Caenorhabditis elegans: one gene and its partners. The protein of the gene in region 3 purifies or fractionates together with the protein of the main gene of each other region. This does not show direct contact. Each region holds a gene or a part of one and is shown on either strand. Other genes may lie near its edges. The genes, in order: gut-2, cyh-1 and C09F9.2.

Evidence for each region.
Region 1: the proteins of C09F9.2 (region 3) and gut-2 fractionate together in Caenorhabditis elegans (co-fractionation; one large-scale study listed by BioGRID). This does not show direct contact.
Region 2: the proteins of C09F9.2 (region 3) and cyh-1 fractionate together in Caenorhabditis elegans (co-fractionation; one large-scale study listed by BioGRID). This does not show direct contact.

Annotation. Positions count from the first base shown.
Region 1 is NC_003283.11:13,495,949-13,499,319, reverse strand, and holds gut-2 (U6 snRNA-associated Sm-like protein LSm2), read right to left. Parts: upstream 1,580-3,371; 5' UTR 1,545-1,579; coding exon 1,542-1,544; intron 1,355-1,541; coding exon 1,287-1,354; intron 870-1,286; coding exon 738-869; intron 688-737; coding exon 597-687; 3' UTR 501-596; downstream 1-500. Other genes in the region: avr-15 (Ig-like domain-containing protein), read left to right, coding at 1-35, 91-380; eea-1 (FYVE-type domain-containing protein), read left to right, coding at 1,953-1,997, 2,054-2,227, 2,269-3,210, 3,305-3,371.
Region 2 is NC_003280.10:3,502,874-3,506,628, reverse strand, and holds the start of cyh-1 (Cyclin-H), read right to left. Parts: upstream 1,611-3,755; coding exon 1,539-1,610; intron 1,095-1,538; coding exon 976-1,094; intron 556-975; coding exon 447-555; intron 1-446. Other genes in the region: Y49F6B.2 (Fcf2 pre-rRNA processing C-terminal domain-containing protein), read right to left, coding at 1,803-1,920, 2,813-2,937, 2,984-3,148, 3,217-3,456, 3,545-3,655.
Region 3 is NC_003280.10:14,703,492-14,707,246, reverse strand, and holds the start of C09F9.2 (EGF-like domain-containing protein), read right to left. Parts: upstream 1,733-3,755; 5' UTR 1,732-1,732; coding exon 1,507-1,731; intron 419-1,506; coding exon 336-418; intron 1-335.

The DNA of each region.
Region 1 (3,371 bases), on a different chromosome or scaffold from region 3:
GACTTATATTGCAAACAAGCAAGATGCTAATAAGAGTCAGTTGGGATTTTTTTTCAGAATTTTTCCTACGTTTTTTTTGCTAATTTTCAGGGGCTCGAACTGAAAGAGAGAAAGCTGAACTTCCATTCCTTCAAAATTCACATAACGATGTGTGGGTACCACGAGAAGTTGCTGAACAAGAACGAGAAGTAATGACAGTTCGAATGAATCGCCGTCAAACAAATAGCGTCTGGAAATGGATCAAAACAAAGACTGAATGGAATGACAAGTCGAAAAGAGCAGATCTTATATCTCGAGTCATGTTCCCTGTACTATTTCTCACGTTTAACATCTCCTATTGGACTCATTATGGACAATACGGTGTGGCCATCAGTACGTAATATTCTGGAATTATTTAGCAATCAAATACTTTCTACTATCATACCGGTGCCCTCAATGGAGAAAACAAAATGAACACGCCTGCAATAAACACCATTTGAAACTGTGAATAAAACCTGTTTGTTACGAATTTTTTATAAAAATAAATATTTTTTTAAATGAGATGATATCAAACTTGACAAAAAATGAGATGAACTTTGAGGAATGAACACGTGGATTTACTGTTTTGCCTTTGAATCGAGAAGCTCCTTCCGGCAGGAGTCAGCCAAGAGTTGTGTGTCGACTTGATCGGATGGGAGTTGCACGTACCTTTAAAGAATCATTTTGAAATATTTATGAAAAATGATAACTAATTGTACCTGACGACGGATCCGCGGATGAAGCAGTTTTTGACAGAGACCATATGTGGAAATCGTTCTGGATCGGAGACGGTGATATCGGTCAACTTCATGTTGAGATACTGATCGACCGAGTGCAGAGTTCCGCAGATACTGAAAAATTATTAGAATTTGCATTTGAGAGATTAGAATAAGATAATTATTTTTTAAATATTAATTTTGTGAGATTTAAACTTCAAAACTTATAAAAATTAGCAGAACTAATCTTAAATGGAATTTCATAATTTAAATTCAAACCCAGGAATGGCACTTGCGTTTAAAGAGATTTCGAGAAATTCGGAATTTTCATTATGTGGAAGTGTATCGTTGAAAATGATTTCCGTCTGGCTAATACATATTTTCGGGGAGTTTCGAATTCTTTCTAGACATTCAGAATATTGAACCCAAGAAGTTTTAAGCATTTTTTGTGAACCAATTTTTAAGAAATGTCTTGAAATTGAAGTTTTACATGGGTTCCAGTTATTTTCTCGATTTTCTGTAAATTGTATATACTGATTTAACAAACCGCACCTCAAATCATTTTTGAGCTCCACGACAACGTCCTTTCCTACGAGTGATTTGAAGAATGAGAAGAACAGCTGAAATAGTAATATTTCGTGAGTTACAACAAAAATTCGGGACTTTCTACATACCTAAACCATTAATTTAAATTACATTTAAGCGGAACAGCCTCATATCCGAGACAACCAACAGTTTTATAACACATTTAATAATTTGAGTATGTACTTTTTCAATTTATATCACAAAATTAAAAGGAAAACTAACCATTTTATGTTAAATCGTCGAAGAATTGCAAAGATTCAGAAAATTAATGAAAAAATAATATTCAAAACTAATTATAAACAAGGCGCACTGCGTCAAAACGGAGCATCGTTGCCAGACGAGAGAGAAGAGACGAAAAGAAATCAGAGGGAATCCGGTTATTTATTTGAGTGACCAACAGAGAATTCCACTTGCCAGTTTGTTTTGCGCTATGTTTGAATCATCTTTCGAGACAGAAAGAGAAGAAAATGCGCCGGTTTTGTTGTCAAATCAATGCTTTTCGCCTTCCCTCTTCGTTTATATCGATCTGATGATATATCTCAATTTGTTGTAATCTATTTCGTGTATCACATTTAAATCTCCGTTCGTTACATTCGAATTATCGCATCGATGAACTGTTGTTTTCCAGAACACATGCTTCGAAGGTTGAAAGAACAAGTTTCGCAAGTCGCGAATGATGTAAGTTTTCCGTTTTGTAAAAAAATTAGTTTTTTCCATTTTGATAATTTATTTAGATTGACGGCCGACTAAACAACAGTCGACCAAGTATTTCAAGTCAAGGTTCACAGTCGCAATCACAAAAATCAGAAAATGATCAGGAGATCGAAGGGTTCTTGTGCCCAATGTGTATGGTAGAGCTCGGTGGTCCTGATGAACTTACTGTTCATTTTGAAAAAGAACATTCTGACGTAAGTTGATTAATCTCTGATTCAATAGAATTTTTTGATAGTTTCAGACATCAGCCAACAGAAATCATCCCGATTACACTCCACCTCAGCAAGCTCCACTCGCCTTTGCTACAAAAGATCAAGAAATTGAAGAGCTTCGAATAAGAGTTAACGAAGAGAAACGTTTTGCTGAACGGATAAAAGAAGAACTTGATAATATTAAATCGGTAATGGCAATAGCTTCAGAAGTCACAGAAGATGAGATTCCATACATGGCACAGCAGATTCAAGTTCTCACAGCCGACAAAGGAATGGTTACTCGGCAATTTCTGGAACTTGAGAAAGAGAGCGGCCAGCAGTCCCGAGAATTGCAACAAGTTAAACAAGAACGTGGAGATTTGATGGCCAAATTGAAACAGATGAGCGTCACAATGCGCGAAATTACGGATGAATCTGAATCGGGCAAAGTTGAAATGGAGGATCTGAAAAGAGAGCTGAAAGTTGTGAAATCAGATGTTGTTCGGTACGAAATCGAAGTTTCTCGGCTTGAAAAGATGCTCGATCAGAGGCCTTCTGAAGATGATGTGAATGTTTTGCGTACTGAGCTAGTTAATGCTCAAAAACTAATGGATGCTATTTCTCAGGAGAAAGATATCGAAATCAAGGAACACCTAAATTCGATTCGTAATTTAAGCATGGAACGTGAAAAACAGCACATCGTAAATGAGAACTTGGAAAAGAAAATTGGCGAAGGAGAAGAAACTGTGAAGCAGTTGCAAATATCGTATGATGCTCAATCCGAAGAATTGAAACAACGAAATGAACGGGTTGTTCAATTAGAAGCCAGAATCGAAGAGAACGTGTTCGAATTAAGTGAAAACAAGCAAAACGTTAAAAGGCTCGAAGATAAAGTACAAGAATCACAAGATGCTCTTCAAATGTTATCTAATATCAATGGATCTAATGAAGAACAAATGATAAGCCTGAATTCAAAATTCGAGCGGGTTAGTTAATTTCTTTGTTTATTTTATCGTATTAGGCAAAGCTGTAACCTGAAACTCAATTTCAATTTGCCGGTTTTATAAACAATGTTTGCAGAATACAGCGGAGAGGAAACGAATTGAGGCGGTTTTCGAGGAAAAAGTAACAGTGCAAGGGGAAAGAC
Region 2 (3,755 bases), about 11 Mb from region 3:
AATTAAGATTTTTAATGGAAAATTGATGGAAAATGTTGGAAATTCGGGGAATTTTGGGCAAAAATCGGCAGAAAATTGAGTTTTCTCAGTTTAAAAATCAAAATTTTAGCGATTTTTGAGTGAAAATGAGTTGAAATCCAAGTTTTTGCGTTAAAAAAATCAAAATTTTGCCGATTTTTGCGTTTAAAACAAAATATTTGGCAATTTTTACACAAAATTGAGTCGAAAAATAGGTTTTTGCGTTTAAAAGCCGAAAATTAGTCAATTTTACACCAAAAATCGCAGAATTTTTTCGTTTAAAACTAAAAAAAATTCGGAAGTTTGTATGAAAAAATTGAATTTTTGACAATTTTTGGGCAAAAATGGCCCGAAAAATAGGTTTTTTCGTTTAAAAATCAAAAATTCGGCGATTTTGACTAATTTTCAGCTAAAAATTCAATTTTTACCCTAATCGACGTGTCTGATGGCACCCAGACAAGAAAAGCCCGCTTGAAAAACGCCAAGGCTGTCCATTTCACTGATGGCCATATGTGTGGGCGGAATTTGTCGGCGAATCTGGAAAAATTTTGGTATTTGAGTGGGAAAATTGAAAATTTCAGGTTTTTTCGTGTGAAAATCGTTTTCTTTTGGGGTTTTCTCGACTAAAAAACTAAAAAAAAAATTTTTTTCAGAAAAAATAGCCAAAATTGTGAATTTTCTGCATTTTTTCTGAACTTCTATCGGAAAAATGGCAAAAATTCCGATTTTCTCAATTTTTCATAGAAAATAACCGAAATTCACAATTTTTGGTGCAAAAAATGCAGAAAATTGAGAAAAAATCGCATTTTTCCACATTTTCCGGTACAAAATTGTTTTTTTCATGGTTTTTTCGGATTTTTTATGCTAAAAATCCAATTTTAGCCGGAATTTTCGCGTTTTTCATGAAATTTTGACGGGAATTCTCCGATTTTTCGGTGAAATCCAGCAAATTCTAACTTCAAAGCAGCATCCTCAATTGATCTTTGCATTCTGAGCTCCTCTTCAGGTGTCACAAAGAGCTCCAACTCGTCCGGCTGCATTACTGACTCGTATTTTTGACGGAATTTTATGTTTATCTGCAAAAAAATTGGGCATTTTTAATTTTTTGAGGAAAAATTCAGGTTTTTTCAGTTTTTTTTTTAGGAAAAAGCGAAAAAAAATCCATTTTTCCGGAAAAAAAACGGTGGAATTCTCAGATTTTTCAGTAAAATTACAGGAATTTCTACTTTTTTTCAATTTTTCTCAGAAAAAAAAAACAAAAAAATAAATTTTTCCGGAAAAAACGTTGAAATTTCTAACTTTTCCTGAATTTTTCAGAGAAAATGAAATAAATGCTCAATTTTTCGAATTTTTAAATAAAAAATGCCGAAATTCTTAATTTTTCCAATAAAAATGACTAAATTTTCAACTTTTTCCGAATTTTTTAAATAAAAAATGCCGAAATTGTTAATTTTCCGTGTTTTAAGTGAAAATTTTGCTGTTTTTAGCCTATTTTCCATAAAAAATTCCAATTTTTCTACCTCCAAACGCATTGCGGCCAACTTTTCCGGTGTATACGTCCATTCCCGTTTTTGTGTGCTCGTCGCGTACATTTCTGAATTTTTGCCATTTTTTTGGCTGAAATTTTCGGTAAAAAAAAAGGTAATTCTGGGTGAAAACCAGTGAAAATTAGTGAAAAATGGGCAAAAAATCGACAAAATAACAAAAAAACGAGTCTATAACAAGAAAATTCCAACAAAAACCAGAAAAAAAATGTGAAAATTCAAAAAATTAACAAAAAAAAATTATTTCTTCTTATTCTTCATTTTTGATTCTCTCTGTTGCTTGTGAGATTTGCGATTTCCGAATTTTTGGAATGCTCCACGTCGTTTAGATTGCTCTTTTTGGCGAATTTCAGCGTATCTGGAAGGAAAATATGGAAAAATTGGAGCTTTTTGATATAAAAATCGATTTTTTCGGAGGAAAAATGTGATTTTTGAGCTATTTTCACACAATTTAACCGTTTGTTTTGCTCAAAATCCGAAAAAATTGAGTTTTTTTTTATTGAAAAATCGATTTTTGGGGGGAAAACCTGTGCTTTTTTCAGAGATTTTAGCGGATTTTTCAGGAAAAAATACTGAAATTCTCAAAATTTTCGATTATTTTCCGGAAAAAAACGTTGAAATTATCGTTTTTTTGGTCAAAAATCGTGTTTTCAGTTAAAAGTTTGCGGTTTTTCGCCATTTTTGGACAAAATTCGGCGAAATTTTCTGAAAATTCGGCTTTTTTTTGCTCCTAAAATCAAATTTTTCGGTAAAAATCTTGGAAAATGTTTTTTTTATTAAAAAAAAACCATATTGTAACGAAAATTCACCATTTTCCATCAATTTTAGCCAATTTTGAGCTCCAAAATCATAATTTTACGTTAAAAAACGTAAAAAACTGTCCATTTCCGGGTTTTTTCGACGAAATTTCGTCGTTTCAAGTGAAAATCGATCAATTTTCAGCATTTTTTTGGGGTTTTCGAGTCCAAAATCATAATTTTACGTTAAAAAAACGCAAAAACTGCAGATTTACAGGATTTTCGGCAAAAATTCGGCGTTTTGAGTGAAAATCGGTCAATTTCTACCGTTTTTAGCGAGTTTTTGCATTAAAAATATCAATTTCCAGGATTTTTGGCAAAATTTCGCCGTTTTGGGTGAAAATCGGCCAATTTTTATCCTTTTTAGCTCATTTTTGCTCTAAAAATCACGATTTTAACGTTAAAAACGCAAAAACTTGAATTTTTTCACAAAAATTCTTGATTTTCCCGTACTTTTTCTTGGCTTTGCTCAACGATTCCTCATTATGCAAAATCTCGTCGACCATCGTCTTTTTTCGCTCTTTTCGCACCATTCTACTCGAATAAAAGTCTTCTGGAGCGTCAACGACTCGTCCAACCTGAAAAATCTCGGATTTTTTGGGAATTTTTTAAATTTTCTCGAACTTGGAAGTATTTCGGCAGTACAGCCCGGTCATTTCGACGATAATGAGCCAATGGATCGAGAGTTGATCTCATTTGAAGGAATTCCAAATCTCGTTTGTGCTCATCGGTGAGCTCCGTCGCTGGAAGGTTGAACCAAGCGGATCCTTTGGTTTTTTCGCGTTCTGACTGGAAAAATAGCGATTTTTATTGGATTTTGAGCGATTTTAATCGAATTTTCATCGATTTCAACGCACTTTCTTCAGCCTGGCGGCCGCATTCCGGCCTAAAAGCCTATTTTGAGGCTGATGATCGCCTTCAAACTTCGGCCCGACAACTGACTTTTCCAGAAGCTCCTGCAAGTCCTTATCCATCTCATATGGCTCCAAATAGGATGTTCCGAGCAGGTCAACTGCCTCAAAAGCTCCTTCTTTTGGCGCTTCTTCACGTACGGCTCTGTCAACGACGAAATCATCGAATTCCTCGGCGACAGGCTTCTGAAAATCGATTTTTTTGGTGCTTTTCTGGGAAATTTTCGGTTTTTTTCGCTAAAAATTTGCAAAAATCGCCGTTTTTTGTGATTACTTGTTGCTTTTGCTTCTTTTTTGGAATTTCCTCGTCGGAATCCGAATCTTCGCTGCTTGAAACGTCGGGATTCTGCTGTTTTCGTAGCTTTTTGAAGTAGAGCGCAGACATTTTGAGCTGAAAATCATTCAATTTCAATTTTTATTCGAAAAAACTGGCGAAAAAGAGCGAAAACCGACGAAAACCCGGTGAAAACCTTCGAAATAAATAA
Region 3 (3,755 bases):
TTCGGCAAATTTATTTTTAGCCGATTTTCCGGAAATTTTTAATGCCGGCAATTTGCCGATTTGCCGATTTGCCGGAAAAAATTTGAAAAGTAACCAAGTTCTATGAAATTATCTAAAATTATTTTTTTATCCCACTTAAAATTTCCGGCAAACAACGGAAAAATAAAAAATTTTAAAAGGGAATTTTTGGAAACTTTCTGAGCTTTTTGAGAAACTTCCAAATTTCTCTGGAAGGCTCTGGAAAATTCTGGAAAACTCTAGAAAAATTTGAAAACCTATAAAATGTGGGCACTACGTCAGATAATAAAAATAAAGTTTAAAAATAAAAAACGTACGTCACGTTAAAAGCATCATTGAAGTTGGTGAAAATGGCAATTGGCTCATCCGACGAGTTGAGAACTTCCAAACGAATTCCACCCTGAAAGTTATGGTTTTTTTATTAATTGATTTTGAATCCAAAAATCCCTCTCTGTCCGGAAATCCAACTGTTTCTGTTATTTTCTTTTTTCCCGCTAAACTGGGTCATCTTACCGACGGAATTTTTCATCAATCAACGTCTTTTTTCTCTCTCAGTGAGAAGAGTCACAATCTCTTAACCTAGTTCAAATCCGATAGTCAATTGAAAAGATACTTGGTTGGGTTCAGTTTTAAAAAGTCAAGGAGGTTCTTGTCGGTCAGCAGTTGTTTTTTAGAGGAAAGTGAAATTTATAAGTCAAGTGGGAATTAATGCATAACTTTTTTTTTAGAATATTAAAGAAATCTCGGACACCGCCACCTTGAAATTCCCTGAGCTTCAACTTTGCACGCCACGGAACCCCGTAGATGTCGGGTCATGCATATCAGCCAAACCCCAATTTAGTTGAATTATCAGAACATTTCCAGAAAATAGCCCGATTTTTGAAAAATTTTCTTCAGCTGTTTGGAGAGAAGCCAAGTGTACTCCATGTGCACTTTCCTCCAAAATTTCCATCTTCTCCCTAATAATACAACAGTACTATTATTACGTTTCAACACTCTTTCCAAAATCAGATAACTCATATTGGATTGGCAGGTCCTGTCTCCGAGTCTCTGATATCTATAGTTTATGATCAGGTCAATGCCATCCACCTTTCTTCCCTCTTCCCTCCTCCCCCAATAGTACGAGATGCCGACACTAATTGGTAGGACCAATTCGGGTCGAACGCATTATTATGTAATACACTTTTTATGGCTGTGTGAGGAAAGTAAGAAAGATGAGCGAGTGGATTTAGTGACCGTTTCATTAAATTTAAAATTGAAATTGAGTGAGGAAAATGATAGATTTGGCGCACTAAAATGTTGGTTAATTTTGAAGATATAAAACATACGTTTAACTACAGAAACATAGAAAAAGTTTGCAACTTTTTGATAAAACAAGTGGCAATTTTTGGACTTTTTGTCTTTGTATTTCTGTAGTTAAAATTTGCTGCTTTATTTCGGGAAATCTAAATTTTCAGATAAAAAAATCTAATTTTAAACATAACTAACCATATGCGGAACAGCTACAAACCAATTCATCTCAACTGTGGATCCGGCTTTCATGAAGGTTCGGACACCTTCTCCGGGTGCCGGTTTCTTGACTCCACATGGTGGTTGACTGTTTGATGAGCTGTAAAAGTCGAGAGCCGGAGCTCGAGCTGGCGGGTAGACAAGTTTGATGTGTGCCGTGGCGAGGGTCGCCAGAAGCAGTGCTAACACTGCTCGTATTAACATTTCTGCAATTATTGGTTCATTTTAGAATGCACAGATGAATAAAGAAGATACGAGAAACTACATTCTTGAATTTCGGGGGTCCAACCTTTGACCTTCTGCTCCAAAACCATCCATCTTACCGACGGAGCCATATCTTATGGCTCAGTCGGTAAAAGACTTGCCTTTGGAAAATTACTCCAAGGTTTGACTCCCGGGTGAACATAGTCTCGAAAGATTTCCAAAACGGTTTCAAGGTGACATATGAGAGGTATAAGTAAGTAAAAGTACGCAAACAACGCAATTTTTTGTTTCAAAATTTGAAATTCCTCCCAACATACAGTTTAAACACAATTTCAAGTGGGTATGAAAAACGTATAAGAAGGATGAACAGAAGCCGTGTGGAACTGGTAGGAAGGGTGGTGAAAACTGAGAACAACAAGTATTAGCAGTTGGGTGGGGAGTAGGAGGAAGAGGAAAAAAAACGAAAAAAGATTCGATAAGTTATTGGCATGACAGGATTTTCTTTGCTTATTGTTCGGATGAAATGCTTGTTGGCAAGTGAGTACTATTCAGTAAAATGTCTGGAGAATAGTAGCTAGGAAAAAGAGTCTCCATAAAAAAATTTGGCTTGCGCCTGAGTTTATTGAAACTTTATATCTTGGTGCTTGGTCTTCGCAGGTGAGAAGCTTAGGCATATGTAAATTCTTAGGATTATGCTTAGGATAAAAGCCAGGCATAAGCACACGCCTAGTTTTTTTAAGTTAAAAAAAACATAAACTCAGACCTAGGCGTGGCGACTTAAATTGTATTTAAAAAACATCGAAACCTTGTGAAAATTGACTGAAAATTTGGAAAACTCGAAAAAAAAACAAGATAAGCTTGACGTTCGTTTGGCTATCAACTTGGAAGTCGCCCATGAGCAATGTGGACCGCTTTTGCACGCGTTAGACAAACTAACATATATTGACTACAGAAGCGTCTAAAAGCCGTGCAGCAAGTGGATGATGATCCAGTAACCTTGATGTTCTATGTTCTCGAACGAAAAACGAACAAAAAATAAGAAAACAGAGGAAGAGATAGAAATGGAAAAAAAATTCGGGATGAAATGATGAGACACAACATACCGGACACACAAAGACCTTGACCGCTTCGGAGATATGAGGGGATAGTGCAAGACTGTGCGTGTTGTGCAATAGTGCATAGTGGTTGAAATTGATGGGAGGAGGAGGAGAAGGAGAAGGGATTTGTTAGAAGATTAGAAGATTTTGAAAACTTTTCCATTTACAAAACTTGGAGCTTGGGGTGCTCTATGACCACCTGAAATCGGGCACCTAGGGCTCGGCGAGGTATGGTTACTGGCATGGTGGGGCTTCATTAAATACAGTGGAGAAATAGCTCTGGAGCCCAACACCACGGTTCGAATGAACCTTTTCGGTATTTTTTTTTAAAGTTTTATGAGGAAAGGAGTGAATGACTGAAAGATATCTACCTACTGGAGGACAGGTTCACCATCCCATAACCGACACTCACCTCGCTTGCCCAAAGTGGATACATAAAACACATAACGGTGTACTTCTATATACCCTATAAAACACAATACAATCCACCATTTATCTTTTTAGCCCCCTTTCCCCAATTTATATGAATTGCTGATGTTGTTGGCTGACAAAGTGGGACATGAACTGTGTAGAAAATCTAAGCGAACAAAAAGAGAAAAAAATCAGAAAGAAATCAAAAAGCGGAAATTCTTCGGGATTCGGGATTCTTCGGAGGCAAGAAATGAAACAAGAAGACCGTATCTTGCGGAAGGAATTGATAATTAGATACCATAGGAATAGTGAAAGTTCTCGAGGAAAGCGAGTAATTACAAGTTGTTGCGCGAGGGAAGGGTCTTTGCGGGATTTGGTGCCAAACGAGAAAAGGGGTCGCTGGCCTGTTGAGTTGCTAAAGGTTTATCCAAAATGTGGGCCGGGCCTATTTATAACAGATAATTTGGGATTACAGATAGCACCAAAAATTTTATTCCAAAAAAAAAAGAAAAACAG